Linked DNA regions of Schizosaccharomyces pombe. The protein of the gene in region 3 purifies or fractionates together with the protein of the main gene of each other region. This does not show direct contact. Each region holds a gene or a part of one and is shown on either strand. Other genes may lie near its edges.

Region 1 (8,598 bases), 3.5 Mb from region 3:
AAACTTGGATTGAGGTTTTGGAAATAAAGGGATTAAATAGACGAAACTGTAATAATATGATTCATTCTTTTTAATAAAGGTTGTGAAGTTTCCATATGAGTTATCGAGCAAGGTATTCTTTTTATGCAAGTTTATTTAAATTTTTTCTATGTCATATTGCAATGGGATTTGCTAGGGTACCAAAAATAGAACTTGTGGGAGAGAAGCTTTTGGATCCTAAGGTTCACTGAAGATATTTTTCACATATTTCATTCTATAATCTAATATGCTAAAATTCGAATGATATTTCATGGAATATCAAATTAATAAAAATATAAATTTACAAGAATTTAAGTAAAAACAAAAAATTAGGACTTTCATTTTGTTCTGTTTTAGGTGGTCGAATTATTAGACAGTTTAATAGTCTTTATCATTGCAGCAGTGTTTTTAAGAGCTCTTAGATGGACTTTCGGTTTTATCATCACAGTACCCTGTTATTTGCCTGGCAAAAAGTTACCTAGTGGGGGTTTAAAAATCAACACCAGTATGTAGTATATACATTTTATAATAATTATTTTTACATTTGCTTCTATAGATTGGTATATTTGAATTTATGGGTTTAAGACCTCAATAATATGGTGTAGTATATTGACTTTGCGCCCTTGGTGGTGTCCACGGATACCTAACCTCCGCACCACACGAAGTTACGACTTGTTTAGTGTCGATATGGCTGAGGGCACAAGCCAAAGGCCATTAACGCCTTTGTCGCAGGCATTTTTGTCAACTAATACTCTTTCTCCTGCTTCTTCCCCTTTAACTTTCCATTCTGAGGCTGCATCTCTGCGTAGAAAACGGTCCAACTTTTTCCCCAAATTAGATGAATTAAATGGAGCTCAAGATGAAGAAATGAGAGGTCTTAATATTCCTGGAGGATCAGGATATCTCGAGAACCGATATGGTCGTGATAAGTTTACGTTTTCTGATGCAGCCGTTAACAGTGCTGGAATGGGAGGGTCTGGCATATTTTCCCACAACAATGCAGATGATGGTTTGGGTGATGGTTCTTCTACGGTTTTACCAAGTTCCCTTAAACAAATGCTGGATCCTGAAATTTCAACTGCCAATAATCCATCTGCAAAGCCTCGTCGAACTCGTCTTCAAACTGCTTGGAAAGAAGCAACTAATTCAGCAGGCCTTTCTCTCCGGTCTGCAAGTGCTTTAGATGTACTCAAAAATTCTGGACCTGCTACTACCTCATTACTTTCCTCAACAACATACCCTTTTGATAGTTTAAATGCATTCAACGAACCATCCCATTCACATGTACCAAACTCAGCTTCTAGCACTGCTCTGTCTAGAGGTATGAGCAACTCTGTAACTTTGACGGCACCCCCTGAACCTGATGAAGAGACCATTCCTACCGCGATTGTTATTAAAAATATTCCATTCTCCTTGAAGAAAGAAGTGTTGTTTAAAGTGTTCACTGCATTAGACATCCCACGTCCATACGCTTTTAATTATCATTTTGATAACGGAGTTTTTAGGGGCCTTGCCTTTGCTAATTTCCATTCTCCAGAGGAAGCCAAAACGGTTGTGCAAGTTTTGAATGGCTATGAAATTACTGGTCGTCGTCTTCGTGTTGAATGGAAGCGTCAACTACCGCCTGCGGAGCGTGAACGTGTTGAGCGTGGTAAACAAGAGAAACGCGCTGTAGAAGAACGAAAAAATCAATTGAAATCTCCGTTTTCTGTTGCCAATATAGGTGCTGGCATTGATTTTGATTTGAATGATCCAGCTATACTCAATGTATATTCTCATATCTTGTTATTTTATTATCGCAGCGATAACACTAATGATCTTGTATTTGATTCTTCAACCACCCAGGAAGAACGTCGGGTTGCTGCCTTATTAGCTTCCCGTCTCAATCTCAATCATTCAGTTACTGGTGACGGTGAAGCTAAGCAAGTGGTTATTACCATGCCTAGTACTCATTTTACTCCCGCTAATAATTCGAGTGCTAACCACTCTCCTTTGATGGCCCCAAACGCCAGTACTTTAAATCCTTCTTCTTTAGGTGCTTCCAATTTGAGCCAACCAAGTCTTGCAAATCACTTGAGCTCCTCTGGTTTATTTGACAATGGTCTTTTCTCGTCCGGTGGTCTTTCTAGTAATTTTTCAAGTCTTAGACGACCCGCTCCCTCTATGCATCTTGCGGATAGCATACGTTCTCTCAGAGGACTAAATGATTCTAAAGCCTTTTCCGACATACGTAGTATGCCAGCTACTCCGTTAGAACTTGCTACTCCTTTTGCTAATTTAAATGTTTCCTCTCCACTGGATCGCAATGCGACTAATTCATCAAATACTTTAAACGGTAGTGCGATGAACGATTATTTTGCAAGCCTTACTCCATCAAACACCGGTGCTATTGGATCCAGAACTTTTACAAAGAATTAGTCTTGGATTTTTTGTTTTTCCCTGCTTTTGATTAATCTTGTTTTGGCTATGTCTCGGGTTTTATTAAGTTTCATTTACCTTACGATAATAAGCGCTTTCAAGCAAATTTATACTTTGTACATAAAAACGACGAGTGAAATTATCTCAATGAATTATCCATTTTTACGACCTAGTGTTCAATTGAGGACATGATTTTCATGCTTATATCGTTTACATACTCACTTCGGATGTGCATGTGATCGGGCTCATGCTTTTAAACTATAATGTGATTCTTGTAAAACGAAAAGGATTTAATTTAATAGATGATATTTTTCTCTCTTCAAAGTCACGTTTATGATTATTTTGAGAGGAATAAAATGGAATTTTCTTTTGTGAGATTTTTTTAAACTTTTGTATCGCAAATCCGGTTTGACGATTCGTATACTGGGATACGATGCTTGAGCTATACAGCAAAAGTCTCAAATAAAATTTACGATAACCGATCTTACGTGGGATGTTAATGGTGTTATTTGCAATAATTTGTTGTTTTGATTGTGTTTTGTTCTTATGTGTAGGACCTTTCGTTACTATCAATACCTTTTCAATTTCTATATCTCATATGTTTTGTACGGACCCAGCTTGTTCACGTTAGTGTCACTCGGTTTTTAACTATTACGAATGATGGCTTCATTTTAATGGCTGTTTGGCTAATTGTGCCTAAATTCTTTTCCGTGTTATTGATTTGATAATGTGTTAAAGAATTCAATTTCGATTATGAGAGTTCGGTTGTCATTTGTATGATTTTTTTCGTCAAGATATGATTGCACTATTTTTTTTTTGTTATTATTATTTTTTTTCGCACTGTTTTTAGTGGATACTTGATGATTTTGTCTAAACGTATCTCGTATCTGCTGTATCGTTTAGTATTACTTTTTAAATAAGTATAGAACATTTACGACTTTTTAATTTGATAAATTGAGTTGATCTTTCTTATTTGAATAATCACGAAGAAACGGCACATTGACCATAGTCGAGCACCGCATTTTTTTTAGAGGTTTTAATGACTGTAAATCGACTAAATGAAAACGCTCCCCGTTCTTGCTCTATATGTTTTAATTTTTTAGAAGCCGTTTAGCGATAAACAATGCAATACACTATTTTTCGATATTTTTCTTCAAGAAGCTACCAAACCTATTCTTAAAATTTGGTCGCTTTTCTATTGGCTATTTGCCGGCATGTCAATCTTTATCCCATCAAAGTTCTTTCTAGAATATCAGGCAGTCACAGTATATATAATGTCTATTATAGCTAACTTATCGTCTGCCTAGCCTTGTTTGGAATTTCATTAAGCGGAAAATAGTGAAGAGTATTTCACGTATTTTAAAACCAATAATATATCTAAAAGCTGCAAGCATTTATTTTTGCAGGGACAGCTAGCTGGTTATATTCCTAACGTGTGGGTTGTATTTGCGTTAGATAACTTTACATTTCTTTATATCTCTTTTTGGGTGCATTAAAAAAAACCATTTTTTACAACTTCATTTTATTTCATTAATTAAACATAATGGTGAGCTTCCTTTCTTCCAGTGTATCTCGTCTACCTTTAAGAATTGCTGGTCGTCGAATCCCCGGCAGATTTGCCGTCCCTCAAGTTCGTACATATGCTAAAGACTTAAAATTTGGTGTTGATGCTCGCGCATCTTTACTCACCGGTGTCGATACTCTTGCTCGTGCCGTATCTGTAACTTTGGGACCAAAGGGCCGTAATGTCTTGATTGACCAACCTTTTGGTTCCCCTAAAATCACTAAGGACGGTGTAACTGTCGCCCGTAGTGTAAGTTTGAAAGATAAATTCGAAAACCTTGGTGCAAGACTAGTTCAGGATGTTGCAAGCAAGACTAATGAAGTTGCTGGTGATGGTACCACTACTGCTACTGTTTTAACTCGTGCCATCTTTTCTGAGACTGTTCGTAACGTGGCTGCCGGTTGCAACCCTATGGACCTTCGCCGGGGAATTCAACTTGCTGTTGATAACGTCGTCGAATTTTTGCAAGCCAATAAGCGTGATATTACTACTTCTGAAGAGATTTCCCAAGTCGCTACCATCTCTGCTAACGGTGACACTCATATCGGTGAGCTTCTTGCTAAAGCCATGGAACGTGTTGGTAAAGAAGGCGTTATCACCGTCAAAGAAGGGCGCACAATAAGCGACGAATTAGAGGTTACTGAGGGTATGAAGTTTGATCGTGGTTACATTTCTCCTTACTTTATTACCGATGTCAAATCACAAAAGGTTGAATTTGAAAATCCTCTTATTCTTCTTTCTGAAAAGAAAGTGTCTGCTGTCCAAGACATTCTTCCCTCTTTGGAGCTTGCCGCTCAGCAGCGTCGTCCCTTAGTTATCATCGCAGAGGACGTTGATGGTGAAGCTTTGGCTGCTTGTATCTTAAACAAGCTTCGTGGGCAATTACAAGTTGTTGCTATTAAAGCCCCTGGCTTTGGTGACAACCGTCGTAATATGCTTGGAGATTTAGCCGTCTTGACTGATAGTGCCGTGTTCAATGATGAAATTGATGTTTCCATCGAAAAGGCTCAACCCCATCATTTGGGTAGCTGTGGCTCTGTAACTGTCACCAAGGAAGACACTATCATTATGAAAGGTGCTGGTGACCATGTTAAAGTTAACGACCGTTGTGAACAGATTCGTGGTGTCATGGCCGACCCTAATCTCACTGAATACGAAAAAGAAAAGCTTCAAGAGAGATTGGCCAAATTGAGCGGTGGTATTGCTGTTATTAAGGTTGGAGGCTCCAGTGAAGTTGAAGTCAACGAGAAGAAAGACCGTATTGTTGATGCATTGAATGCTGTTAAGGCTGCTGTTTCCGAGGGTGTTCTCCCAGGTGCTGGTACCTCTTTTGTTAAGGCTAGTCTTCGCTTAGGAGACATTCCTACAAATAACTTTGATCAAAAGCTTGGCGTCGAAATTGTTCGCAAAGCTATCACTCGTCCCGCTCAAACCATTCTTGAAAATGCTGGATTAGAGGGTAACTTGATTGTTGGTAAACTTAAGGAGCTTTATGGCAAGGAATTTAACATCGGTTATGATATTGCTAAGGATCGTTTTGTTGATTTAAATGAAATTGGTGTTTTGGATCCCCTAAAGGTCGTACGTACCGGTTTAGTTGATGCTAGTGGAGTCGCCTCATTAATGGGTACCACCGAATGTGCCATCGTCGATGCTCCTGAAGAGTCCAAGGCCCCTGCTGGTCCTCCCGGAATGGGTGGCATGGGTGGAATGCCCGGTATGATGTAAGGTATCAAAAAAATGCCGACGTGGTTTTTTAAATTTTTACAATTTATTAAAAGCTTATGATTATGATGATTTAAATCCATTCAGAGAAATTGGCTTTAATTTTGCATTATGTTGTTGACCTTCGTAAAATTCTTTAGTTTCAAAACTAGTTAATGGGTCATACTTCTGTTAATGGATACTTATTGTTTTGAAACTTTTCATTCGGCTATTCTCATATGGTTGCTAATTGTACAATCAAACTCCTGATTTTGTTTAATGAACATAATGTTTTACCTTGTGTTTATTACACATTATAATTTCACTCTTTTTACGAATGGTATGACTTTCGACTTAAATACCAAGTTTTCACTTTTGTGTTTTTGTAAGTTCTGAATTGTGTTTACGTAAAGCATCAAGTTTCTTTATATTTCCTATACAGGTTTGTGGTGAGCTTTGAAATGGTTGAAGTATGTGAGAGATAAATGATTTTGAAAATGATGAAAATAACGCGGATGAAATATATGTCCGAGAGCGCAAAAAATGTGTGGATATTTCCGTTGCCTTCCTTCTGATTCAAAATTATTATATAACTTATATATTTTTAGCTGTCGTGCGAGTATCCCTACTATATTCTTTTTAGGGGATCTGTATAGGTCATATAAAGAAAATTAAAATGCATGATATTATGTTATCACTAGTATTGTGGTAAATTGTATTTTCAAAGTTATGATGAGAGGCAATTGTAAGTAATAAAGAAACATTGGTGCGGTGTAAATTTTAAATGAGCCTAGTAGTTGAAGAAAGCTCTCGACGAGCTCATGCCAATTTCACAGCCTTACATGAATTACTCCAGTTTTTGTAACATTTTAAGAAAAAGCGCGCCGTCACTGATGTTGTTGCCGTCTCTTTCACTTTTTTCTATTCTATGTCGTACCATATATAAAAGATACAGTGTACAGTAATGTACAATATGAGCTGAATTTAAAAATGTTGTATACTTTTTTGCTCCATACACTGATTTCGTAGCAAATAAACAAATAAACAGGTACCTTATAACTGTAAACGATTTATTACCCACGCCCTGCTTTCGCAAGTTAAATAGGAAGTTCTGGAGGAACAAAATCATATAAATAAAACCATAATCATCTGCTGCAAAGATTCGTGAGCGCTTCAAAAATATTTACATATATCTAAATCATCAGCACTTCCCCGGCATTAGTAACAACTTTAAAAGGAAAATAAATTTATTCAGACTTCACAGAGAAGTCAAGTTTATCCTCCTCCATTCGTGAATCCGAGGAGTTCTCTTCCTTTGGTTGATTCTGTTGGGTTTCATTACTGACAATCCAGTTGGGTTGAGTTAAACAGTACTTCTCCGGTGGAAGACGAAACCCATAAGACGGCTGAATTTGGGGTAAAGGTTTTCGATTTCTCTCCATAGCAAGCTCTAGTAAAAATTCTTTTGGTGGAGGTCCAGTGAAGGAGTGATTGATTTGAGAAGCAACAGCTAAACGTACATCTTCTACAGAAATTGGAGCATTTTGCCCACGTGAATGTTCCGCATAAACCTGTGAATCCTGGATTAACTGCTGTGTATATCTATGTGCAAATGTTAACAACTGCAAAGGCACTGTTTGAGAGTATGATGGAACACCCAGAGAGCTAAGTATTAGATGAATCAGACGAACGTCCTTAGGTCCTTTTATAGATTCATCACTTATTCCTGGAGAACTCATGATTTATTAAATACTATAAGTATATGCGAAGACAAATACGACTCCCGTTATTTTTCTGTTTTACCACCCAAAAAGATTTATGGTCGTTGCGAGCGTTGCAAATTGTATCCACTCAGAAGTTAGCGTGAGTCCACTGCACACCACTAAATAGCTTGTTTCAGAAAGTTTACAACAATGCTATTTTACATATACATTACTAAATATTTCGAGTCATAAAAATTTATCTAAGCAAACTTTAATTTATGCAGAAGGAATGATTTCATTAAAGCAATTCCTATCAAAGTTGCTTTTAGTATCACCAATGTTAATAATTTAGAAGTTACATAAAATTTTAGTATAAGCAGCGTAAAGTAAAAACTCTCATTTAGTAAATAATAAAACGAACAGGATCATTCATACAAAATCAATGATGATACAAATTTACTAAAAATTGGCAGTGTTTTTTTTTTACAAAAGGACATGGAAAAAGGTTGAGATTTTCAAATGAGAAGAGCATCTAAGAACTAATTTTCTGAAAAAGAGGCATCGGGAAAGAAATATTAAAGCAGAATGAAGTAGAAACAGAACCAAGTAATTTAAAGGAAACCAAAAAAATTCAAACCATAATTGAAAATGAACATAACAAGACCGTTAAAACAACTGAGTCACAAAAACGTATTTAAATCTCTAAATATGTATGGTGCTTTTTTTTTATACTCATGTCGTAATTGCAATGGGAAGTTAATGGGTAATGAACTTCTTAGTACGATTAAAGAGTAAATATATATCAAAAAGACGTTCGTTCATTTTAAGTACCCGAACAATATGTTAAATGTAATGTTATGATGTTTAAGAAGAATAAACGAGCAAAGGACCCACTGATAAATGGTTTTCTATTGAATGCGGCGATTGACATTTAAATATCCTTTTCCTAAGCATGACATCTCCACCTGGCCTGATTCGAGCTCTTTAAATCTATATTCGCAATTGAAAAGTGCCTTCACATCCCGAAGAAAAACAACTAATTGCGAAGTAATACCAAGTTGACCCACAACTATTGTGTTAACGTCTTCAGAGGATAGTAGCATCCCGGTTAAAGTTGAAGGTTGTGTATATGGATCTACACAACCACCAGATTCAATAACTTCCAATAATTTCTTTGCGCAAAAGGAACCA
Region 2 (7,097 bases), on a different chromosome or scaffold from region 3:
ATCGGTGACATTGTGAGCCGAGTTTTTGAGGCAGACATGTAGAATAGATGATAATTTGTATTTTATTAATTAATCTGTGAATGATATATTAAATGAATTGAAGTTCAAAATGAAATATGAAGAGGTGTCGAAAATATAGGAATAGTACAAACCAGTATATCGAACAGTGCTCTAAATTTTGGAAGATGAGTTCGTTCAGGGTCGATGTATTCAACACACTTCCATTTCGCATTACGAGACAAGTTTATGAAACGAATACGTTTTAGATAAAAATAGTATTGAATTATTAAGTTAATTTTTAGATTAGTAGTGACTTAAATGTTGAATAAATATTAAAGGAGTAATAAGATTAAAGGCAGCGGAATGGAAACGAAATATTTTATAACAAAGTGAAACAGGCGTAAAGGAATAGGTGCCCAAAAGCGATATATGAAGGTGTTATTAATACCTCTGATATGGAGAAGAGTTGAATGTATCTTCTCTTGCTTTAAGATTCTCTTGAAAGTCCTCAACTTCACCTCGTCGAATTTCAACTGTCAGTTTACGAGAACCTATAAAGAGCATCGCAAGTACTATGAGTATGAGTAAAGCATTTACGACAGCATCGATCATAGCAATTACTTGAATAGCTGATGGAAAACCTTTAAAGATGAAAGTAAACACAAGAATGAAAAGACGGCAAGACACGATGAAGGAGATAAAAGACATAAACAAAAAGTCATAATTATCAGCTCGTTCCTTACCGGCTTCATACGTTTTCTTTTCAATTAGTTTTTTGTATGTGGCACCTTTAAGTAACGACTGGAGTTCCCATAGTTGAATGGATTTCTTTGGATTCATATTTTTGTGGGAGGCAAAACAGCTAGTTTGAACAAATCCGTTTAAAAACAAGAAAAATTGCGAAAAAATATTAATATGAAATAAAATGCTTAAAAGTCAAAGGATTTCGACAATCGTTGTTAATGAGTAATTGGAGCGCAAGACCAGAGGTTTAACGATTTTGATATTCAACCAATATATTCAATTTCTCTGCCTACACAATCCCGACCTAAATATTCTGTATTATTTGATAAATATTTATTCTTCTTATGCAAAAGCATTTTCATTTTCTGGCCAATATCTGCTAAATTTTGTGTTATATTTATCAACATGACACAACCTGACATTGAAATAGTTATCAAGGAGGATTTTACCTATAGGGAGTGTTCAGATGTTGCGAACGATGTGTTTAAAAAAACTCAATGGCTCTTGTACGTTTTCCTTTTCATAATTTTTGCCAATTGTGTTGTTGATGTTAAGTATTATTTTGAGGGATTTAGTCATTCATTATTATTCGTCTATTTTTTCTTGACTTTAATAATTCTTCTTGTAAGTTTTATGGGATTTCATTATTTGAATAGTATTCCTAAGCCGGAAGCTGAACCTGACTATCGAAAGAAGCAAGAGTCAAAGAATCAGGATTTCCTTAAAAGTCAATCTAATGAACCTTTAGAGTACGCCTCATCCTCTGCAGTTGAACTAGAAAAAGAAAAAAATACGCGAGAGGGCTTAACAATTCTTGAATCTAGTTAATTTTGTATCCATTTGGCATTTGCATCGACCTTGTTTTTGTTTTGTGTTATGTTTATAGGTTTATTATTTATATTCTTCCTTGGTGTGACAATTTTTTTTCTTTAAAACAAAAGAAATTAAAGAATTTGTATTTTATTTATTTTTCCATTTTGAACTACCATATTGAATGTATTCTCAAATTATTAGTATACAGGTGTAATGTCACTCATTTGAATGTAATCAGAAGAAAAGTTATTCTCTTGTTCAAGATCCCTTTGAAACTCCTCAACTTCTCCTCGTCGAATCTCAATTTGAGCTTTCGAGAATTATAGAATAGCAAGCTAACAACTGAGAATGAAATCTACTGTTAAATCTGACACATCTACTTTCACGGTTTTAAGAGACTTAAAGCCATCAGACATAATTGCTATCATAATGAGTAAGCGGAAATCCACGTAGCATAGTCCAGGAAGAAATCCAAACCATAAATAGTTTTCGTGATGTCCCTTTGAAATTTCATCTGATTTTTTCTCAATCAGTTTTTCGTACGCAGTACCTCAATGCAGCGACTGGAATTCGTACAGTTTAATGGATTCACTTGGACTCATCATATATGATACAAGCAAAATAGCCACGTCAACAAAGTTCTTCTAATGTCTGAAAATCAATTCAGTTATCAGATTGAAATATTGCTATCAATTCAAGTCGAATAATAGGAAAATCTTTCTCTGTGGTTGATGATTTAAATATTTAAACCAGACCAGGGGTTTCACAATTTAGTTAAGAGTTACATTTACGGACTTTTCTTTCCACAAACCTCACTTTTTACTGTTTTATTTTTTGAATTTTGCTGGACATTTTTTTAAATAGCTTCCATTTCTTGCTAAACTTGTTTAAGTATTCATTTGTATTCGTTTTAATTGATAGAGGCATTGAACGTTGAGTCGAAATGAAGGAGTTAATCTATAAACCGCGTTCACAATTTTTGCCAATATTTTTACTTGGTCTTTGAACGTTCTATTTTTCTTGTTTCTTGTGACACGTGCCGTTCACATTGCATTTTAACTAAGAAACATGGCCACAGTATGGCCGTTCTAAAGATGATGCTCCTAAGATTGATCAAAAGTAAAGAACATTGTTATACTATGGTTATCTCTTTTGCAGTGTTATCCATCCACTATGCTTGTGAATGCTTTTTGTATCCTAAATTGTTTGATTCTCAGCGCTCTCCTTCACCTTTTTTACGTTGGTTGTTTTCAGTTCTAGGTGTTTTAATGTCTATGGATGTGTTTTGTATTTTATACGCCTATCCAAGTGTTTATTTACACTATGTAAGCGAAGAACCTAAAAAAAAATTAGAGAATCCAGTCTCAGCAATTAAAATCGAAATGAAATTTCATGAAGTCATACTTTCTTCCTATAAATGGATGTAAATAATTTTTCGTAAAGGAAGTATATTCATCGTAAATCTTAATTTTCTATTTCGCTTGTCATTCGATGTCGATTTTGTTTTCCCTACGAGTCAAATGTCAATCTCAACTAGATGGTTTAAGAATTAAACACCCTCTAATTCCTCCCTTCCTTTTCTTGATGTTGAAATTTCTTTCTCATTACTACAATTCATAAACTCCTATCAACTAGAGAGAATTGCGGTTGATAAGTTTTTCAAAGGTTAGCAAAACGGTATATGCATAAAGTCCCATATACAATTCAAATATAAAAAATTAATTGTTCTTTTCATCGTTGATTTCGTTCCAAATTTGCTCGATAGTCTTCCACTTCACCTCGTCGAATCTCAACGTTGAGCTTGCGAGAACTGAAGTAAAGTATGACTATAATACACACTAAAGCTATGCTGTTTATGATAGCATCGGCTACAGCAGGCAGTTCACAGTACGTATTTTTGTTGAAGAGACTTATAAAGAATATGATCATTCGACTTATAACAAAAGAGAAAATAAATAAAGTAATAATAATTGGTAAAATACCATCATTACTCCGATATTTAATAGCTTCATATGTTTTTTTATTAATTAACTCTTCATATGCTTCGTCCTGAAGCAGCGACTGGAATTCTTGCAACTCGATGGATTCCTTTGGGCTCATATCTTTCGTCTAACAAAACGCAGTTAATTGAACACTTTTAAATCACGAAATTTGAAAATATAAGAAAAATGGATTTTTCAGTAGCTGAAAACTTAATTTAATTGAATTTCATTATTTGTGGTTAATAGATTGTGCACGCAGTAGTTAGCAGGGGTTTGAAGAGAAGTTAGCCTTTTCAATCTCACTGTTCGGGAAAGGCATTTCATTTTCCTATGTCTATTGTTGACTCAAGATTGGTAAATGTTTACAATTAAGAATAAAGTTTAATTTCCAATAGCTGAATTTGCATCTTTCTTTCTCTTTCGTTTCGATATGGCGTCCTTGGACATTCATTTATATGTGAAGAAGGATTTAACCTACGGAGAGTGTGTAAGGGTCGCAAAAGAAAAGTATAAGATAATTCACCGGCTTCTATATATTTCTATTATTTTCCTTTTCCTCAATTACGTTGTCGACATTGTGTGTTATGTAAAAAATTACAATGGTTTTTCTTTTTTTTGTTGGGTTTTTTTGAATCTTGGCGTTATAGGTATAATAATAACGGTGATTATCTATTATATTTCTATTCCTAAACCAGATGCTGAGTCTGAGTTTTTAAACAAACCAGACTCATTGAACCAGAACGTTGGTGAAAGTCAATCTAATGAACCTCCAAAGTACACTTCAACCTTTATGGATGAGCTTGATAAACAGGATTAAAGGAGTACAAAAATGGTTAGTCAATTGATCTGAAGCGCAATGATCAACCTTTGGTAAAGCCAAATCCTTTTACTGTTGAAGTTTATCGCTAAATTTTTGCTAGACTTAACAAACTTCAATTCTTCGTACCTTTTTACTAATATATTTAATTCATTTTAAAAATAATTCAAACACTTTTGTTTAACGGAATCAACGGCATCGTCAGCTGGTTGTATCGGTAGTGTCAAATAGTTTTCCTATGTTTGTAATGAAATTTTTTGTTTTTTAATTCTGTACTTCTGTAACAATTGTAATTGTTCTATGGCTATTTTTTTCCCGTATAATAATCTGAAATTTTTGCCAGAATATATTCTCAATATTTTGGAATTTTTTTACTATTTTACAATCCAACAAACTCGAATTTTACGATAAATGCTTTTCTAAGAGCCATGCAAAAATTTTATTATAATGTTTTAATATTTTTTGATATAATATAAAAATAATAAACTGCAATGGCTATTTATTGACTGATATTAGTATTATAATTTTCATACAACTATAAAAATACATTGGCAAAAAAGAAAAAATATTGAAAAATCCTAAATAGATACGATGAAATCGATTTCTAACAAAAATTAAAATTAAAATAAAAAACTAAGAAAAAAAAAAAAAATCAAACAGTTACATAAGAACCTAGCTATTTTTTTCCAAACTCCTTCCTATTTATTGTATTCTTTTCAAACATATAAAGAGACGTACAGCAATCACTATCCATAAATAACGATAAAAGCAGCATTATGGGTAAATGAATTTGTGAAATTCACCAACTTGCCAAAAATTGCTTACATATTCTCGTTAACTGGCTTTACCGGTTCCGGGTACAATTCATTAACCAATCGGTTGGACGTAATGACTAAATAGCCCATAAGAAATATAGACAGAAAAAAAGGGAAAATAAACGTGAAAATTACCAAATCTAAGCATTCTCAATTTATGAAATGCTTGGTCTTTTAGTTGGAATTGTGCTGTACTGGTGCGACCGAGCTTCGAAATCGGCGAAGGAAAAAACTCAAAAGAAGCAAACGTCTACCGTTTCACGAAAGAAGAGTAAAAAAACTGCATCGAAAAAAAATTCTGGAAATTCAAAAGCATTAATTGTAAAAAAAAATTAAGTACTATTCTTTTGCATGTACTGCTCGATTCAATGTTTAATGACACTCCTTTCATCAATCTGTTCATCTCCACTCTACAATCTATTTATTCATTTGATACATACTCTCATATAGGATTTTGAAAAATATACTCATTACTATACAATATTATAATTAAGGGAGAATAAAAAAGAAATAAAAAAAACCAAAGGAGCCAGTTCAAGTAGGAATTACTTGTGCAAAAGCCCTTCAAGTACTAGTAAAAGTAACTAGTAGAGAATGACTTGGCTGCATCTAAAACATCCTTAAAGTTCAGGCATAACGAAAACAATAACAGCAAAGAAAAAGAAAGACGCAAAAAGTTCAAAAGGAAAAAGAACCAAACATGGTTTAGAAGCGAGAAACAACCAAAAAAAGTATTGCGGGGTTGTAAAAAAAGAAAGGTCCTTTACAACTTTTCAATGTCTTTCCCTTCATCCTCTTTCAAAATGTTTTACTTGACGACTGACTTTACAGCTCCTGACTAGGCTTTCCAGTGCGACCAGAAGTTTTGGGCAAAAGATGGGCGTTGATGTTGGGAACAACACCACCTTGAGCAATGGTAACGTGACCAAGAAGTTTGTTCAACTCTTCATCGTTACGGATGGCGAGTTGAAGATGACGGGGAATGATACGAGTCTTCTTGTTGTCACGAGCAGCGTTTCCAGCCAATTCGAGAATTTCAGCAGCCAAATATTCCAAAACGGCGGCCAAGTAAACGGGAGCACCAGCACCAACACGTTGAGCATAGTTACCCTTACGTAACAAACGATGGACACGACCAACGGGGAAAGCCAAACCGGCCTTGGCAGAACGGGATTGAGCAGATTTGGCAACAGCAGCCTTACCACCAGATTTACCTCCAGACATGACGAAAAATACTGAAACTAAATAAAAAAAATAAAAGTTTGAGTTAAAAAAAAAAGATTTTTCCTTCTTTAATGAAAAAAGATAACAGTCAACGATGAAGCAGCGAATGGATCAAATTTGGTGAAATTAACAGAATTTTCTCGCAATTTCAGCCTTTACGGACAATCAATCTCCTTATCAACTAAGGATCAATTGTTTATATCAATTTCAATACGTGTATGGATCAAAAGGTATCCTAAACAACGAAAAGTCGCGATATAGGGAAAAGGAGACATAGGAGCGCGCACCCTTCATATATATACTAATTCTAATCTTCCGTATAAGCACGTCTAACGCGTTCTTGTAGATGACGTTTCCGCGTCGCATGGCTAAACACCAGGGTTAGGGTTGTGATGCCCAAGTTGTATATAACCATCGCGTCGCCTGCAGGCATGTTAGTTAATACCAACAACTTGATATTGCACGAAAGTTTAGGATTATCAAATTCCTACAATTGCAATTACTTAGTTCAGTCCATCAATTTTGAGATTCTCTCGACAACCAATTTTTAAATCGTAAAAAATGTCTGCTGCTGAAAAGAAACCCGCTTCCAAGGCTCCCGCCGGTAAGGCTCCTAGGGATACCATGAAGTCTGCTGATAAGAAGCGTGGTAAAAACAGAAAGGAAACTTATTCATCCTATATTTACAAGGTGTTGAAGCAA
Region 3 (8,098 bases):
TTGTGCATCGCGCATTGCCGTGGCCCTTGCAAACCACTGTGATTCATTCGGGTAGGCAAAAACACTACCGAAATTCATCCATCCATCCAACTTTAGCAGCTGCACCCAATCCCTGCTCTCAACCCACATAACTATGAATGCAACATGTTATTTCAGAAACCATTTCTCACCAATTTATTTTATTTTATTTTATTTATTTTTTTTCATTTTCATCCTGCATTGATAATTCCTTTTTCACATTCCATCTTTTCATCTCTCATTCCTCTTTCTAAACAAGGAAAGGCATCGAAATAGACGATCTCTATCGGCAGTTAAAGTTGACAGATACTTGGTTTGCTCAATCCTTTTTTTTCCACCACCATAATCAACCATGCACAAGATTACTTTTGTCTGCAAATCTTATTACGTATTTTAAAAGCAAGCAAGGTTTTGAATGAATGGTACACATTGTTTCTCATAGCAACAACATCCCGCAATCACAGCCAGCCATACCATACCATACTATACTATACATTCTTTACTTCCAATAATATCGTTATTACAAACATGCGCAAAATTCCACTCTACATTTTCTTTCCAATCTACTTAATTGCCAATTAATTATATGCTTCTCATCCTTATTATTAAAGCACTTTTCTAGCTGCCCTCTTTCTTATCCTCTATTTTTCACCCTCTCTACTTACTCTCGCTCTCTATCTTTTTTCCACACTCCACCGTATCCTGTGTTATTTGGAATGGGAAAAATTTCTGACCGCTCGGAAATCCACTTTCATCCGCTAGCTCCAGCATCAAGGCCACGAAATAATCATTCTGCCGCTATGCCATCCATCTGCCTTTGTTGGTGTTAGTTTCCTTTTCCTTTTCCTTCTTCCCTTGCCATGTAAACAAAAGACGTAGTATACATGCGTTCAATGTCATAAACACCGTCGCTCATTTTCCATTTACGTTTGCACAAAAAAAAAAAAAAGTACAATAAAAATTAAAAAAAAAAAAAAAGGTTTGACCCCCCAACGTAATCCCATCTCCTCTCATCCTATTCCATCTCATCCATCATCCATCCACCTCATCCCATTCTTCCCGCCCGACTCCAATTTCCAACATCATTCTTTGCATTTTTCTCCAACTTTACCCCATTGCCGCTGGCTTACGCTTGCTTACCTTGTTTTCAATACCCAACCACCTCATCCATCATCATCATTATTCTGCCTCCACCTGACTTGTCAATTTCCAGCCATTAATCGGCATTCGCACTTTTCGTCACACTCCCAAGTCATCAAACCAAATCTCATCGCCTCTTATTCTTCTTCATCTACTCGTCTTTTTCCATCTCCGCAAGGTTGCATGCTAAACGGAAAGGAACGTCAGAGTAAAAACATTGTATGGTAATTCATCCATCCATTCATTCATCTACTGCCTTTTTGCTGTTTGACATACGTTTTCTCTCTCATTTCTTCTTCTCCAAATTGCATGCTCTTACTACTCAAGCTATATCTATATCTCCTTTAATTAACCTTTTGCCTGTTTCACTGCCCTCCATCGGATTTTCTTGAGTCCATGCCATGTGCATTCCAATATCCAATCTACCTTAAACAAAATTGATTTCGAATAACGATTTGGAGTACACTCATTTCTATATCGCTTAACTGAACCGTACTGCACTTCTCAACCCTCCAGTGTACCGGATGGAAGGCAAATCTCAAATTTTTTTCATTCTCTTCTAATACCCAAGCATAGGTAAATCCTTCACTTCTGCCTTCTTAACGAGATTAAGCGATATTGCGCTACAGCTCTTTCGGTTCCATTGAATTCCCGTTCGGAATTTGGCTTATCTATAAAAGGCACTCATACCGGACACAATCACGACTTTTGTGTCACTTGCTTTATTAGGTAACATGGACTCAAATTTTTAGTGCTGTCTGGTATAGTGCACTACTCAACTGTTACGGCAGGAATGTCGCTGGATACACTTGTTCATACAAAGTGGATTTAGCGAGAATGACCGTCTTTTGTAAAGTAGCTGTTGACTTGTAAAGGTTAAAAAAAAAAAGGGTAAATAATATATAATGGATGATGGGCTGTAATGGGAAAATGGGAATGATGGGTTTGCTGAAAAGAATACGATTCTAAGTTCAGTAGTGTTACTGTAGGTTGAGATGTTGATTTTGGAAGAGTTGTTCATTATTTTGTAGGTTTTGTTACATATTCGTTTCTATGTTTACCTTTTTGTTCGTTGATATCAGTTATTGCAATTTTTTTAGCTTTTCATCTTTATCTTCATCAAACTTTCTTTTTGCTTATTTTCTTTTATGTTTATGCTAGTTATGAATCACACAATACTCTTTCTTTTTTATCCCTTTACCTATTATCTCCATCGGCCGCGTTGAAAGCGACACATTTCAAGTAATGATTGCTTTTTTTCTTGTTTCAATTTGAATCGCAAACTTACCACAGAGTGCTATTGCTCGCATCTCACTTCCATAACGTCTTCTACACGCTTATAGTCTTTCTGTCTTTGTTATACCTCAGCTCATTCCTTTTCCTTCATATGGTATCTTTAATTCTAATACTTTATTGCATAATATAACAAATTTATCTGCTATACTATTATAATATCCACATATGCCACAATAATCGCCTTCTTGATGTATACGAGACTTTGTATTCCATAAAGCGAAGAAAAAAAAAAAGAACGCTCTACTTTAAGTGGATCTCTGGGTCATTTCCATCTCCTCATGATTCATTATATCCTCAATGTTGCTGTGCGACAACCCTATCTGAACAAATAAGCTACACTTCATACAATCGTTAATCAATTTTATTCATTGCATTCCTAATGTAATTAAAAAAAAAAAATGAAGAAATGGGGCGATCCAATCATCTTTTCATTTTCATTCATTGGAAAAGTCGGTCTATTTTTTCTGGTAATAATAAAGTCTACCGTTTTTCTAATTTGTATGTGCGAACCAATTCATGGCAAAAAGTGCGCCATCTTGAATCACTCCATACGAATGCGTATATTGTGCCTTTGGAAATGCGCCTTATAATAATGAAAACAAGACAAACTTTCAAGGTGCATGGTATGAGAAAAAGGAAATATTATTGGAAAAACGACTACATGCGTGGAAAAAATAGAAATGGCAATTTGCCCACAAAAAAACATCAATCAAAAAAAATGTAAATAAGATAAACGATAATTTTCATTCAAATCTAATATGAAATAAATTTAATTATCAATACTTCAAGTAATTCATACAATATATATATATATTTTTTTTAATATTCTTTTTTTTTAAAATGAAATTTCCATGTTATACTAATTACAAATTCCAACTGTCCACGTTACGTTGGTTTATTTGTTTTAATTTTTACATTTATTTTATTTCTTATTTTTTTAAATTTTTTACTCAAGTATACATATACGCTGGTTCAACGTTCTAACTTTTACATAGATGCAGACTTTTTTTTTCTTTGGGTCAGTATCTTTAGTTATTCTGTTGCTACATATTTTGATAGTCAATGAATAGATGAATCAGGCTTTAAAATTAAATTTTTTCGTTTTCCTATAATTAATTCATTTCTCTACCACTACTCATCAGATTCGCTGATTGATTTGCATCTATCTTGTAAACAACAATTTTTCGGTAAAAGAATAGAAATTTGAATCCTTCTCTCATGTTTCCCTTAAATGTTTATTTTTTCAAGTTTCACATTAGCTTCTATGCACGAGTATAATTTCCCAATGAAAATGGAATGGTAAACAGTATCACAAAGTACACCACTGTCCTACAACCTCGTCCAACTTTCTTTATATCTTTATTGAACATAAAAGTTTGAAAGGTTGTATTGAATAATCAAATAAAGGGGTTTTATTTCCTCAATTTGAGTAGCACGAGTCACTTTTATATTCGCTGTCCACAGTTGGTCGATTTTATTACCAACACTAAAGGAGTTCATGACTATACTACCGCTTTCTGGTCGTTTGCCTTTTTTCCGTGCTTAAGTCAAATAATATTATATACTTAATAATTGTTTACATATTTTGATGTCAATCCGATTTACTCATTGTTTTACTTCTTCCTCATCATTGCCCTGCTACATACTTCGACATTTGCCTTTTTCAAATTTCAACCGCTATTCTACCGCTTCCCATGATAACGTTAATGCTTTTCGCCTTTTAATGCGTAGGTTCGCACAACCAGTTGTCATCATCACGAGTGGTTTTGCTGATGGTCATCGTGCTGGCATGACGGCCTCATCCTTTACGCCAGTTTCTCTGACGCCAAATCCAGTAATTTCATTCAATATAAAAATTCCCTCTCGTACAGCAAACGCCATCCAACAATCCAATCGAGTAATCGTTCATCTTCTGTCTAGTTCAATAAAGAAGCATTCCGAATGGGCTTCCTTACTTGCCAAACAAAAACATCAAATCAATCCTTTAATGAATTCAGAGAAAAACTCTACTTCTGTAGAGGATCTTCCAGGAAGCAATCGTACACAGCAAACATCTTCACATTCTCTTCTGCATCCCCTTCATCCAATCGATGTCAGTCTCAGTAAAGAAGGTCTTCCATGTCTTGTTGATAGCTTAGGGCTCTTGCACTGTTCAATAATTCATTCTTATCAAGTACAAGATCACATTCTTTTCGTTGCGAACGTTGAGCGTGTTGAACATGGCTCTAGCCCTTTAGAATCCAGCTCAGGCTTAGTTTATTATAATCGGAACTACTGCAGCACATCCCCGTTAAGCCCTATTATTGATTCTTTCGAAAGTTAATTCTTTTTTTGAGTTTGCTACTTATGCAAGTAATCATGCCTACTTTAAAAAATGATTCAGCCAGGAATGTTGGGTCCGTGTTCTCCATGCTATTTAATATTCTTTCTTTTATATTTTCATTAATTTATGTGTACTATGTATTTCTTTCTAGGGTATATAGCTAGAAAGACTTACGTAAAGAAAGGTTGTACGACTTTATTCAATTGTTTTTATTTTTTGATACAGTTTTTGTAAAATAGGCCAGTCAAAACGTACGCAACTAAAAATCAATATTTTAAATTCTAGAAGCATTTCTATCGTTGGATTTTTGGGCGAACTTAATACCTTTAAAAGCTGTACATTTTCTATTCAAACTTAAACTAAGCAATGGATTTGAGGAAATTTTGAGAAAAATCTACTAATTGGATATAGCAATCTCCAAAACCATCGCTTCCTCCATAATAAGGGTCATCAACGATTTTTGAAACTCCTGGACTAGCATATTCTCCAAAAAGCATGACTTTAGCACGGCTACCTTGAGGTTTAACACGATTAATGTTTCGCAAATTTGACGAATCCATTGCAAAAATGTAGTCAAAGTTTTTAAAATCAGACGTTGAAAGTTTCCTTGCCAAATGTTTGGTATGAATGCCATTCTTTTTAAGTACTTCGAGAGTTCGTGGATCAGGTCGATTTCCTACATGCCATGCACCAGTGCCACAGCTATCAATGGTGTCAAAACGTGCCTCGAGTCCAGCCTTTTCTACTTCATTTCGAAAAACTGCCTCAGCCATTGGACTTCTGCAAATGTTTCCCAAGCATACAAAAAGTACTTGAATATTCTTGGTCATAGTTTATAGTATATTCTTGGGATTTTTGATGAGTCAAAATTTCCTCTTCTATTTGTAATGTATAGATATTATAGAAGGTGTAAGTTTAAATGAAAGACAAGCGAATTTTTACCACAGTTAATTGGTAATAAAAAAGTTTGAACTTTTGGTAGGTGCACCTCCCGTTTTTAACAATATTGAAAAATACTAAAAAGTAACTACAATGTTTCCAAATATTTAAGGAATGTTGAATGTAAAACGAAAGTGATCGTATTTTCACGTTTCAAGGTAGTAGAGGAAAATGCAAAGACATGTCAAATTAGTGCAACCTCAATTGTCCATTACCAATTAATGTTGACTGTCACAATCTTTTATTTTTACTGATTACAATATATTGCATTTTATTTCTCATACATAACTTTTTTATTTTATTTTGTTTTAAGCATTTGCATACATTTTTTGGAATATCAGATATGAGTTTCTCTAGAAATCAAGTGCTAAAAGGACTAAAGACGAAAAAAGCCAAACCTAAGAAAAACCCGACTGTAGATGAACTCTTTGAAATAGCTATTGATCTAGAAGAAAGTGGGGATCGCTGGCGATTGGAACCTGCAAAGGTATGTACAAAGCTATAATGGTGAATTTCAAAAACGTTTGAACATGATCATTCATACGAATTGTAATATTAGTTTTGAGAAACAAATAGAATTTACGCTTTTTTGCGCCGAGTTCTCAATACTTGAGCACGTGAAATTAAAACTAACAAGCAATAGTGTTTAAGATTTTATCAAAAATCCCTTGAAACATATGATAGATATTTATTACAATGTCCGAATGATTTTGATGCTCGTTTTAATAAAGCAAGATTGCTACTCAATATGGCTACAAACTGCGATATGCTATACAAAGATTCACAAGTATGCCTCCAGAAAAGTATTGAGATGCATAAGCACGCCTTATTATTACAAGAGGCCCCAGATATTTGGTTCAACCTTGCGCAGGTTCATCTTAATTTGGCTGAGATTTGGGTGGATCTTGATCGCGAAGATTTGGCATATCCTGAAATCCAGCAAGCACTGCAATCCATTTCACATAGCATTGATTTACAAGAACGAGAAAGAATTGAATGGGAAAATACTATACAAACATCGTCGCAACAAAAATATGAAGAAATACCTGACATACAGGCTCGACGATTATACTTTATAGAAGCAGACAAAGAGGCATCGACATTAGTTACCGAAATTGCTTCTTTAGCATGCAGTTGCAAGTTACTTGAAGAATCAGATTTTGAGAAACTCTGTCAGATAATGCTACCGATTACGGAAAAACTCGATATATTAAAGCTAATGGACTGGTACTTGGCGAAAACCAAACGTTTAGTACTTGGTGGTAAAGAAAATGAGGTGGCATGGATTGATTTACTGCAAGTTTTTGACCATCAACTTAGCCAATTACCACAGCTAAACTTGCAAAACCCGTTGGATCCGAACTCGTCTGTTAAACCTTTGCATATTCAATTGCTGTGCGACAAAGCCGATGCATACATAGACTTTGCAGAGACGCTACTAGATTCCTGCGTATCTACAGAAGAAAGCGCATCTATTGAAATAATGACTAGAGCCTGGAATATGTTAGGAGTAGCTGCCAAAAGTTTAAAGATGGCTAACACTTACAATCCTAATCATGTAAGAATACTCATTTCTAGAGCTGACTTAGAGATTCAACGTGCAGCTATCCCCATCATGGTAGCTCAAAACTCCAAACTTGTGTTGTATAAAAATGCCAAAGTATTATACGAAAAAGCATTCCGTGATTATTCAACCAAAAAGACAACAAGAACGTTTGCGGAGATTGTCTTAAAGCATTATCAACTACAGAAATTGACCAACCCAGAAACGATTAAGATGCTGGACTCCTTAACTGAGGTTGCTCAAGAAGACATTCTCAATACCATTTAAAGAAACAGACGTTTCTTACTTAATTTGGCAGGCTAATTAGTGAATCCAATTATAAATATAAAGTTTTACTTTGTTTCATTACTTGTATCATCAAATTCATGTTTCGCTAGCCGAATTTTTGCATCGTATTGTTTCATACGCTCCAAATGATCTTGCTTCAGAGCATTCAGATGAAATGCTTCGCTACCGATGATGAGCCATAATAGCCCGAACGTATACGTTGATGACCAACGTAACATGGAAAAAATTGACTTTTAACTAAAAAAAACTGTTTCTAATATCTTTGGTGTGCAAGTTCAGACTCAGTATTTGGAGTAGCTGCTGTAATTAATCGATATAATATAAATCACAAATGATTGAGCCTTTTAAAGGCGTTGAACACTTAAGAATCAAAACTCCAAAATACCGAAAGACAAAGAGAAAAAGAAAATCAATATTTTTCGCTCGAAATAAGGATTACCATTAAGACAAGTTTTGACTGTACGGAACTGTGTAGGATAACGGTAAATCAATTTTCTGCAATGCTTTGATATTTATTGACTTTCATTAAA
Region 4 (9,057 bases), 1.1 Mb from region 3:
AATTAGGGAATGACTAACAGTACTAAATTCAGTATCGATAGTATTCCATAAATATCTAACAGAATTGCATTTTTCGCCCATTACTCTCAACTTGTATAGTACTTGACGATCAACATCCAGTGACATAGACCTAATATACCGGACAAGATTATTCAAAGAATTTAACCTACAGGACAGATGCTGCATTAAAGAAGCAAATAATGGGGGTAAATGAGTAGACCTTGAATTCAAGATGTCCATTCCAAGATCGACAATAATCCTTTCGAGTTCAGGCTTTTTGATGGAGCGAAGGTAATTGCAGGAAAAATCGATCGGATTACCAGGAAGGAAGGAGTAAAAAACAGCTTCTTCCAACTTGCTTTTTACGAGAGATTCGTTATTTGCAGGATGCTCCAAACTATGAACTTCTATTTCAGCGATACCAGAATAAGGGGTTGCTATAAAACATGATTCCGTAGGAATAGAGTATTTTCCTAAAACGTATTTGTAGCAAGTAGACATAAATATGCCGCCAGAGACATTAGTATTCATACGAATAACCTCTTCCCATGATGTTCTCGATACAATATCTTTATCATCCTCTTGGACGTGCACTATAATAACAGCGTCTGTTAAAACCACAAATAAAGAATTCCCTGATGATGAATAATGTAGCTTTGAAGACTCAAGAGATTTAGAAGAAAATGAATACAATGGATGAATATTCATTACCGAGGGTGAGGAAATGTCAGAAAAATCAAGAGAAATAATCATGTAACGGTAATTAATAGAATTTTTCCAACATACTAAAAAACTCACTAGATTTCCGTTTGTGGGGCATATAGTAAGGTCTAACACCTCAAGTCCGCTTGCATCGGGGCATCCTTCTCTCAAAACCTGCTTAAAAATAGGAGACAGATTCATACCAGAAACAAGCTTATTTTCCAACTTCAAATCATATATCTCTAGTAAACCAGATGCCTCAGCGACATACAAAAGATGTTGGTATGGAGAGAACAGTGGTGGGGATTTTAAAGCAATGATATGAATGCTAGGGTAGTTAAAAATCTTCATTTTCTGAAGAATAGTAGAAAAAGTACTAATATCGGAAGCAAATAATTGTACAGAAACGTCAGGTTGACCTGCAGGATCGCGCAGTTGAACAGAAAAAAGACGACCAAAATTGGTAGATATGATGAACTTCATGGGGTTTGAGCAACATAAATGCTCACATTTTTCTTTGGGGAGTAACTTTATCAAACTTTCCATTCCCTGGGGACATATATAAGATTGAGCGAGAGCATTCCCAATTGAAGTCCAATATGCTATACGACCAGAGATAGGCATTACAATCAGCAATCCAGGTTCTTTGTCAGAAGCATCAGAAGGGACGAAGGCTGTCAAGGCATTTTGCCCGGAAAAGCCATTTGAGTCCTCTTCAGGTAGCGGAAATGTTATAGTTGGAGGTTCTGCTGTTCCCAAGCTTTGACGATACGACAAAATAAAGCAAGCTTTTCGGGAATTAATTAATGCATAACCGATGTCTGTGTAGCATGATCCACTTAAAGGATGGTCTAAATTGAATAGAGATGTTAGTTACCTAGTAATGCGCACAGTGAAGAAATAAAAGCTTCGTACCGTTGATAATTTTAGAATTAAAATGTTTAAGTAGACACGAGACCTTGAAATTTTTAGATCTGAGCCAATCCAATGAATTATTATAGGCAGTGCTATCCAAAAGCGATTTCTCAACAGAAATTCGTTTCAAAGGGCTAAAAGATACGACTTCTTCATTTTTCCTTTTACCAAGGATAGAACTCATGACTATTTGACGATATCAGTACTGATACTGGCGGTTATCGTCTATTTGACTCCTTAATACCCTTAGGGATAGAATATGGCTCTGAGAAGGACGAATGTCGACGATTCCTACAAAGAAGGGTTTGAAATCAAAAGAACTTTACTTAGACTCCTATTTTTTACTCAGAATTAAATAGTTAAGCTACTGATAAGAAATTCAGAGTAAAATCAATATATCAATATTTCAAAATCGGTGTATATGTCATATACACTTTTTTCACAAATGTCAACACAGTTTGCTCTTTTGTAATTAATTATTTCTTTGCTTTGGTATATTTAAGGAAGTGATACTTAGGATATTGTCTTTTCCCGGAATGTTGTATAAAACAGAGGTTTTTAAAAAGTAGTTGCGTTCTTCAAGGTCAAGCTTAAACTACTTTTTTAGAACGCATGATCAATTTATATAAATGTTTCATGATTCCGTATTTGAATTTTTTTTATGAGCACGCCAATGGTTGGAAACATCAGATTTCTTCGTAAAATCGCACATCTGGTACAGAAAACTATAAAAGTAGTAGAAAGTTTGGGACTGGGTTGGAAACAACTGTAATAAAGAGAAAAACGCGAAAATACTTTATTTTGAAGTGTCTGAACTGCCGAATCGGAAAGCTATTTTTCATTAGTGTTGTAAATTATCCGAAGGACTGAAAAAGACCAAATTTTACAAGAAAAATAAAATTATTGTATTTTAAGATTTACTTTTGTGATCAATATTCAGGCTAATATCACTTAAGAGTTAAAAAGTTATCTAACTTGATGGCACGAATAAAAAAAATTTTTACTCAGGAAGAATTAAAACAAATCCCCTGTCCATATGATCACAAGCATACAATTGTGCGACATCGTTTAGAATATCATTTGAAGCGTTGTAACGCGCGTCCTGTTGAAAGGACCGATCCATATTACAAGAAGGACATAAATATCTCTACTTCAACAGATGCTTCAGAATCTTCCTCCTTTGAAATCGTCGATTTAAGCAAGGAAGAGTTGTCAAAATGGATTTGTTTGTTCAACAGAATTAGTGATTCTTTACCGACTCCTCAAAAAAAGGTGTTGTTTCACCCGGCAATGAATGCAAGACTGTATGTACGAAGTGCTTTCTCATTAGCTTTTTATTAAGAAGATGGTTGCAAAAGTAGAAACTAACTTCATTTTTAACAGTGAAGAGGGTACAAAAAAAAAGCATGCAATTCAGCAGGTATGTTCGACATGATTTCTTAACGGCAGTCAAAAGCATTAACCATTTTAGGCATCATTGTTAGGACATATGGAAAAACTACATTATTTTGACAACCAAGGATCTATATATTACGAATTCGGTGCTGGAAGAGCCGAGTTATCAAGATATGTTCAGCACTGCTCCCAACAAGAAAACGTATATATACTTATTGATCGTGATTCAAATCGAACGAAGCATGATAGCAGGATATTAAAAGATAGCATCAAAAATAACTGGCCTGAGCCAAAAATTATAAGGTGTAAAATTGATATTAAGGATTTGAAACTCGATTTTTTTGCTAGTGAATTTCGGAATAGTGGTAAACCTGTATTTGCATATTCTAAGCATTTATGTGGTGCTGCCACAGACCTTACCTTGAATTGCTTAAAGTCCTCCCCTCCTAATGCTCTTGTAATTGCCCTTTGTTGTCATCATCATTGCCGATGGAGAACACTTTCAACCTTTGCTAGAGAACAATTAAGTCATTGGGGAATTTCAAATCCACAAGAGTTTCAAATATTACGACAGATGACTGGGTGGGCTGTAAACAGTTTGCGTGAGCATATGCATGCTTCTGGAGGAGCCGACTCACACATCAGTGGTCTTTCTCATGAGGAACGCGTAAAAATTGGGTTGAAGTGCAAGCATATTATCAATTACATGAGAAAATTAGAATGCGAAAAAATGGGTTATGAATCTTCTCTCGTATACTACGTTGGTGAAGAAACGACTTTAGAAAATGTTGCACTCATCGCTTATAAACGAATCAACTAAGTGAATTTCCTTACGTGAGAAAAGTAAGAAAATTTTTTAAATTTGAAAAGATTGCACTCAAAAAAACTAGAATTATTTTGTACTTTTTTGAAGTGTGAGATTGCATATAGCAATCTGATAGTTAAAGCAAATTTTACTTTTTTTTAGCAATCATGATTTCTCTTGAAGTTGGAATTGTTTGGAATATGTAAATTTTGATAGACATTATTTCCTCTTACTTAAAATTAAAAAACTTCCTAACTAGTTAAACTCGGAAATTGTGCAATATTTAAATAATAAAAACTATTTTTTTTAAAAAGTATAAAATTAACAACATTAATAAATAATATGGAATATGTATGAAGGTTTCATATTCAACTTTCTACCTTCTTCAATTCCAGTCTTTGACCACCGCATAGCAATATCGCAAAAATGTCGAAAATTCGCATTTTAGTAGGAGTCAAGCGAACTCTAGACTATATGTTAAAGCCTCGCATCAATGCCACTAAGACTGCTGTTGATTTATCGGGGCAAAAAATGAGTGTATGTTGAAAGGAGAGTAATCATTTCAGTACTGCTGTAATTCGCAATTTATATTTGACTAATCGTGAAAAGATTAATCCATTTTGTGATATTGCTGTAGAAGAGGCTATAAGGATGAAGGAAACTTTGAAAAATAGAATTGAGGACACTTTAGTAGTGACCGCAGGACAAACTTCTTCTGAGCCCATTCTTCGCCAGTGTCTTGCTAAAGGAATTGGCCGAGCAGCACTTATAAATGTTGGCGAAAAAGAACTTGAACCTCTTTCAGTAGCCAAACTTTTGAAGGCAACAGTCGAGAAGGAAAAAAGTAATCTGGTTTTGCTGGGCAAGCAAGCTATTGATGATGATGCACACCAAACAGGTGGTATGCTGGCTGCTATGCTTGGATGGCCTCAATTCACTAGCGCAAGTAAAGTCCGTATTGAAGGTGACAAAGTTATCGTTACAAGAGAAATTGACGGCGGTGAAGAAACCTTAAGTAGTACACTTCCAGCCATTATTACCACCGATTTACGTCTTAATGTTCCTAGATTCGCGAATTTGGCAAAAGTTATGAAGGCAAGGAAGGCTCCTTTAGGCAAAATGTCTCCCGAAGATCTAGGCGTAACAATTGATCAAAGACTACAGACTGTTTCAGTCTCCGAGCCTGTTCAAAAGAGACAAAACATAATGGTAAAGAGTGTTGATGAAATGGTTAAGACATTAAAGGAACTTGGCGCCCTCTAAGATTTTTTCGTAAAGTAAATACCGTCTTGAAATTTGCTAGATTTCATGCTCACTTTTCTTATATGCAGAGGTTTCCCATTACAAATAAACCTTACAAGTTATTTCTTTCTTTTGTTTTTGTTTGAACACTGAACGCTTTGAATATTTGTTAAGTTAAAGAAATTCTTTGATCATCGAAATATTCGTTCTCGTTCGTAAATTTCAATTCACCTCTGTATTTGCTTTGTTTATTTCAGTAGAATCGGTATTCATATATTATTTTTAAGCCCCGTCAGTACAAACGTTATTAAACAACCATTGATTGAGTTACATCTGTCATAATCAATAAAATTTTAACCTCTTCCACTCTATAATATTTAGAATATAAATCTATGTTTTTATACTTTATTCATGAATGTTTGTAGCGTAATCTCTGCCACCAAAGTAAGCCTAATTCCTCAACCGCAAGTAGCCTTCATCACTATTTAGCCAGGTATCATGCAAGTTAGGTGTTTTCAAAAACTCCTTCCTCTTGACTATCGAACTGATTGCTAAATAGAAATCAATTTTCCCTTAAAAATTCAAGTCAATTAAATTGATTTTTTAAGCCCTTCAACCTTAATGTTTGGCTTCCTTAAGTTGTCATACTACTTAGTTCACCAACATAGACAACCCAGCACATTGCCAACATTTTTATAGACGTGTTGAAACTTACAATTTACAATTGGTTTTGATGCTTTTTGATTTCTATGTTATCTAAAATCTTTATTTTGCTTGCGATTTCGTCTGAAGAGAAGTGTTTCTGAAATCTACAAATTTTGCAGAAGAAATTGAGTAGCTCAAGCAGAACCCTATCCTCCTGAAATTATTTCTGGATAGTGTACGGAATTGATTTTTAGATGTCTCAAGGTTTGTCTTTTTGTGTCCAAAAACAGCACTAACCTTTAATTTAACAGACGTCTTTAAACATTTGACCAGCAAGCAGGTTCAACGTACACGAGCTAGGTGTGTTTTAAGATTACCAATTTTTAAATTTAAAATTGGGAGTGAAAATATTATTTATTTTTTTATATTTTTAATCTTTTTGCTAATGGATTTAGATCTTTTGGAGCTAGTTTTGAGAGACCGTTAGCATCGTTTCTACCTAAAAAGGAAAATAAGAACTTATTAAGTAACGCTGCTCGAGTTAAGCTTTTGACTTTCTCTAGTAGTTCTCCTTACTCGTTTTCTTATAGTCCGGTTCTGTCAAGAGATGCAAATGACGGTTATATCCCTTTAGATACTAGTTCGCGGGCAAATTTGTGGGAATCTGTGACAGACTATGATTTACAGCATGCCAATGAACCTCTTGTCGGGAACTACTATATTAGCACCGAAGCTTTGGGAGACGGCCTAAATCGATCTCCTTTCACCATTAATCCCGAAAAACGTAGGTCTTTGAGCGATATATCGTATGTTCCTATTCCTCATAAAGAACACAGCAATTGGCCAGTTCATTGCTCCTCTCAAGCTATTGTCACTACCAGCAACACAACATTCAGTATTTGGTCTGCCAATGACTATTTCTGTTTACTTTTTGGATATGCCGGTTCTCAGCTGAATCGGCATAGCGTTTTTGACATTTTTCCAAAATCATTTTCTTCACATCTCTCTAATTTAATTGTTTCTTTCCCAATAGACAATGAACATGAAAGAATCTTGTTTTGTGGTGATGTGTTTCCTGTTATTACTGTTGATGGTGTCCGCCTTATGGATTTTTGGGTAAAAGAAAAACAGGGTAAATTAATTTGGATTTTGGAATTTGTTGAAGAATCATACATTGATATCAAGTTACAAGATGGTGTTGCCGTCGACGAACGAACTGAACAGCCTTTAACGTCTGATCTTCTTCCTTCGAGACTACCAAAAACCTGGGATCAGCGTCTGTACCTAACTACAAAAACGACTGAAGGCTACTATTGTCCCAGTATGATATACCCCCTTTCCAAATCTTCATTTCAATATATTATTTTTCATTATGCAGCGGGCTTGCTATTTATAAACTCTGATTTTAAAATCATTTCCTTAAACGAGGCATTATTCGAATCAATGCTTGGTTATAGTGACCTCTTAACTAAAGATATATCCCTTATATTCCCGGATTTTAAATTGGTTCTGCAGCAATTAGCGGATAGTCACGCACTTGATCCTGGTAGAGTTGTTTCCGAAATACACGTTCGACATGCTTATCGTACTTGTACAGCTGATAAAATGAAAAAAGCGGACTATCCATATTTAATCCATTCGGATGGAAATATAATACAAATTGATTGCCAGATTATTTCTGTTTCACCTCATTCTGTTAAGTCTAATGAGCCCGCTTTTGGAGTATGGCTTATATTTGATTCAGTGGATAATCGTGCGTCTGATTTCGTAAGATCAATGCGCTCCTCTGTGATCTTAGAAGAAGTCGTTATTTCTGACGAGAGTGAAGAAGAAGAAGACCTTTCGGCAGACGAAGATTACGTTGATTCGGAATGGGAGGTTGTACCACACAACATCGCAAGCTATACAACTATCAAGGAATTAGGAATAGGCGCTTATGGTCAAGTAAAACTTGCAACTTATAAATCTAACAAGGTTCATGAAGTTATTTTGAAATCAATTAGTAAAAGTAGGATACTTTTGGATTCATGGATGCGAGATAAAGATCTTGGAACCGTACCTATGGAGATCAGTATACTTCATTTTTTGAAAGCTCATTCCCACCCTAACATCGTAAAAATGATAACTTTTTTTGAAGACAATGAAAACTACTATTTGTTAACTGAGCCCCAAAAGCCTGGAATAGATTTGTTTGATTACATCGAATTAAAACCATCGATTTCTGAGAAAGAGAGCAAGGCTATATTTTTCCAAATCGCATTAGCTGTTGCCCATCTGCATTCTTTTGACATAATCCACCGAGACATCAAAGATGAAAACGTAATTCTAGAAGGAAACGGATGTGCAAGACTCATTGATTTCGGTAGTTCGAGCCTTACGAAAAACGGGCCTTTTGATACATTTCGGGGTACAGTTGGTTTTGCTGCTCCGGAGCTACTAAGAGGTGAAAAATATCTCGGTAAAGAACAGGATATTTGGGCTTTGGGTATTTTATTATACACGATAGTTTATCGGGAAAACCCTTATTATAACGTAAGAGAATTATTATAATGGTATGCTAACTAATTATTAGATCGAAGAGATTTTGGACGCCAAACTTAGAATTCCTTTTGAACTATCGAAAGATAATGTCGATTTAATTTGTCGAATGCTTGATAGAAATGTGCATGATCGCATTACTATTGAAGAGACGTTACAACATCATTGGTTTGATGATATAAGATATTTGGACACATCACATATACGCATACCTCTATCCTCTTGAAACTAGAAAGTTCTTATCTATATACATATGTTATATATTAAATGCCAGTATGAACCCCATTAATAAGATTGATTTATGACTAAATTGACCCCAATGCCGGTCCGTAATTCCTGTACCCATGAGTTGAATAATCAAGCAATTCTAGATAAAATAGCTCTCTGTAATCTCATCAACAAATCACTAAGCTTCTGAACTTCCTCCGATTTTAAATCTTGTATATTCTTTTCGATTTCAAAAGTGGCTTCCGTCATTGATTGTATAATGTCTTGAGGACCAGATTTATCAAACTCTACAGATGAAACTTTGTTGGATTCATTGTTTGTATCAATGGACCCTGAAAGTAAGCTCGAAAATTGTCGTTTCTTGGAATTTTCAAATCCGTTAACTGCAGTTGTTTCATTCTCGGTTTTTTCCTCTGGTATTTCAGTTTGGCTCAAACTACTTTCATTAGTAAGTACACAAGCAGATTCGTCCAGATTCTGTCCCTGTTCTGAAATCCCATGTCGTTCTATGACTTCCACATTTTCCAAGGTTGCGGACACTTCGCTAATTGCAACTTCCTTATTCACGTTGGAAGATTGGCTCTTAC

The links.
Region 1: the proteins of coq12 (region 3) and mcp60 purify together in Schizosaccharomyces pombe (affinity purification with mass spectrometry, with the first as the bait; one study listed by BioGRID). This does not show direct contact.
Region 2: the proteins of coq12 (region 3) and SPOM_SPCC622.06C purify together in Schizosaccharomyces pombe (affinity purification with mass spectrometry, with the first as the bait; one study listed by BioGRID). This does not show direct contact.
Region 4: the proteins of coq12 (region 3) and ppk6 purify together in Schizosaccharomyces pombe (affinity purification with mass spectrometry, with the first as the bait; one study listed by BioGRID). This does not show direct contact.

Annotation. Positions count from the first base shown.
Region 1 is NC_003424.3:337,237-345,834, reverse strand, and holds mcp60 (protein Mcp60), read left to right. Parts: upstream 1-3,737; 5' UTR 3,738-3,979; coding exon 3,980-5,728; 3' UTR 5,729-6,069; downstream 6,070-8,598. Other genes in the region: RNA-binding protein Cip2, read left to right, coding at 706-2,436; SAGA complex/transcription factor TFIID complex subunit Taf9, read right to left, coding at 6,952-7,443; rcl1 (rRNA processing protein), read right to left, coding at 8,316-8,598. UniProt on the Schizosaccharomyces pombe protein: May participate in assembly and/or disassembly of proteins imported into the mitochondrion. HSP60 are ATPases and have affinity for unfolded proteins.
Region 2 is NC_003421.2:1,405,528-1,412,624, forward strand, and holds SPOM_SPCC622.06C (uncharacterized protein), read right to left. Parts: upstream 3,804-7,097; 5' UTR 3,658-3,803; coding exon 3,289-3,657; 3' UTR 2,561-3,288; downstream 1-2,560. Other genes in the region: SPOM_SPCC622.03C (uncharacterized protein), read right to left, coding at 442-840; SPOM_SPCC622.04 (uncharacterized protein), read left to right, coding at 1,150-1,572; SPOM_SPCC622.07 (uncharacterized protein), read left to right, coding at 3,970-4,356; hta1 (histone H2A alpha), read right to left, coding at 5,997-6,395; histone H2B Htb1, read left to right, coding at 6,957-7,097.
Region 3 is NC_003424.3:3,878,485-3,886,582, forward strand, and holds coq12 (NADH-dependent flavin oxidoreductase), read left to right. Parts: upstream 1-3,930; 5' UTR 3,931-4,042; coding exon 4,043-4,777; 3' UTR 4,778-5,136; coding exon of another isoform or gene 5,137-5,607; 3' UTR 5,608-5,772; downstream 5,773-8,098. Other genes in the region: SPOM_SPAC1071.13 (uncharacterized protein), read left to right, coding at 2,861-3,178; protein tyrosine phosphatase Stp1, read right to left, coding at 5,137-5,607; SPOM_SPAC926.02 (uncharacterized protein), read left to right, coding at 6,060-6,203, 6,360-7,547; protein Ina22, read right to left, coding at 7,613-7,786. UniProt on the Schizosaccharomyces pombe protein: NADH-dependent flavin reductase that acts in the coenzyme Q biosynthetic pathway. Required for synthesis of the p-hydroxybenzoic acid (PHB) precursor to form a quinone backbone.
Region 4 is NC_003424.3:2,770,115-2,779,171, reverse strand, and holds ppk6 (serine/threonine protein kinase Ppk6), read left to right. Parts: upstream 1-5,734; 5' UTR 5,735-5,958; coding exon 5,959-5,968; exon of another isoform or gene 5,969-6,015; coding exon 6,016-6,064; exon of another isoform or gene 6,065-6,159; coding exon 6,160-8,236; intron 8,237-8,276; coding exon 8,277-8,468; 3' UTR 8,469-8,557; downstream 8,558-9,057. Other genes in the region: nucleoporin, WD repeat Nup132, read right to left, coding at 1-1,553, 1,618-1,801; tRNA 2'-O-methyltransferase Trm13, read left to right, coding at 2,596-2,921, 3,001-3,037, 3,089-3,832; etf2 (electron transfer flavoprotein alpha subunit), read left to right, coding at 4,244-4,354, 4,427-5,080; telomere length regulator Rif1, read right to left, coding at 8,600-9,057.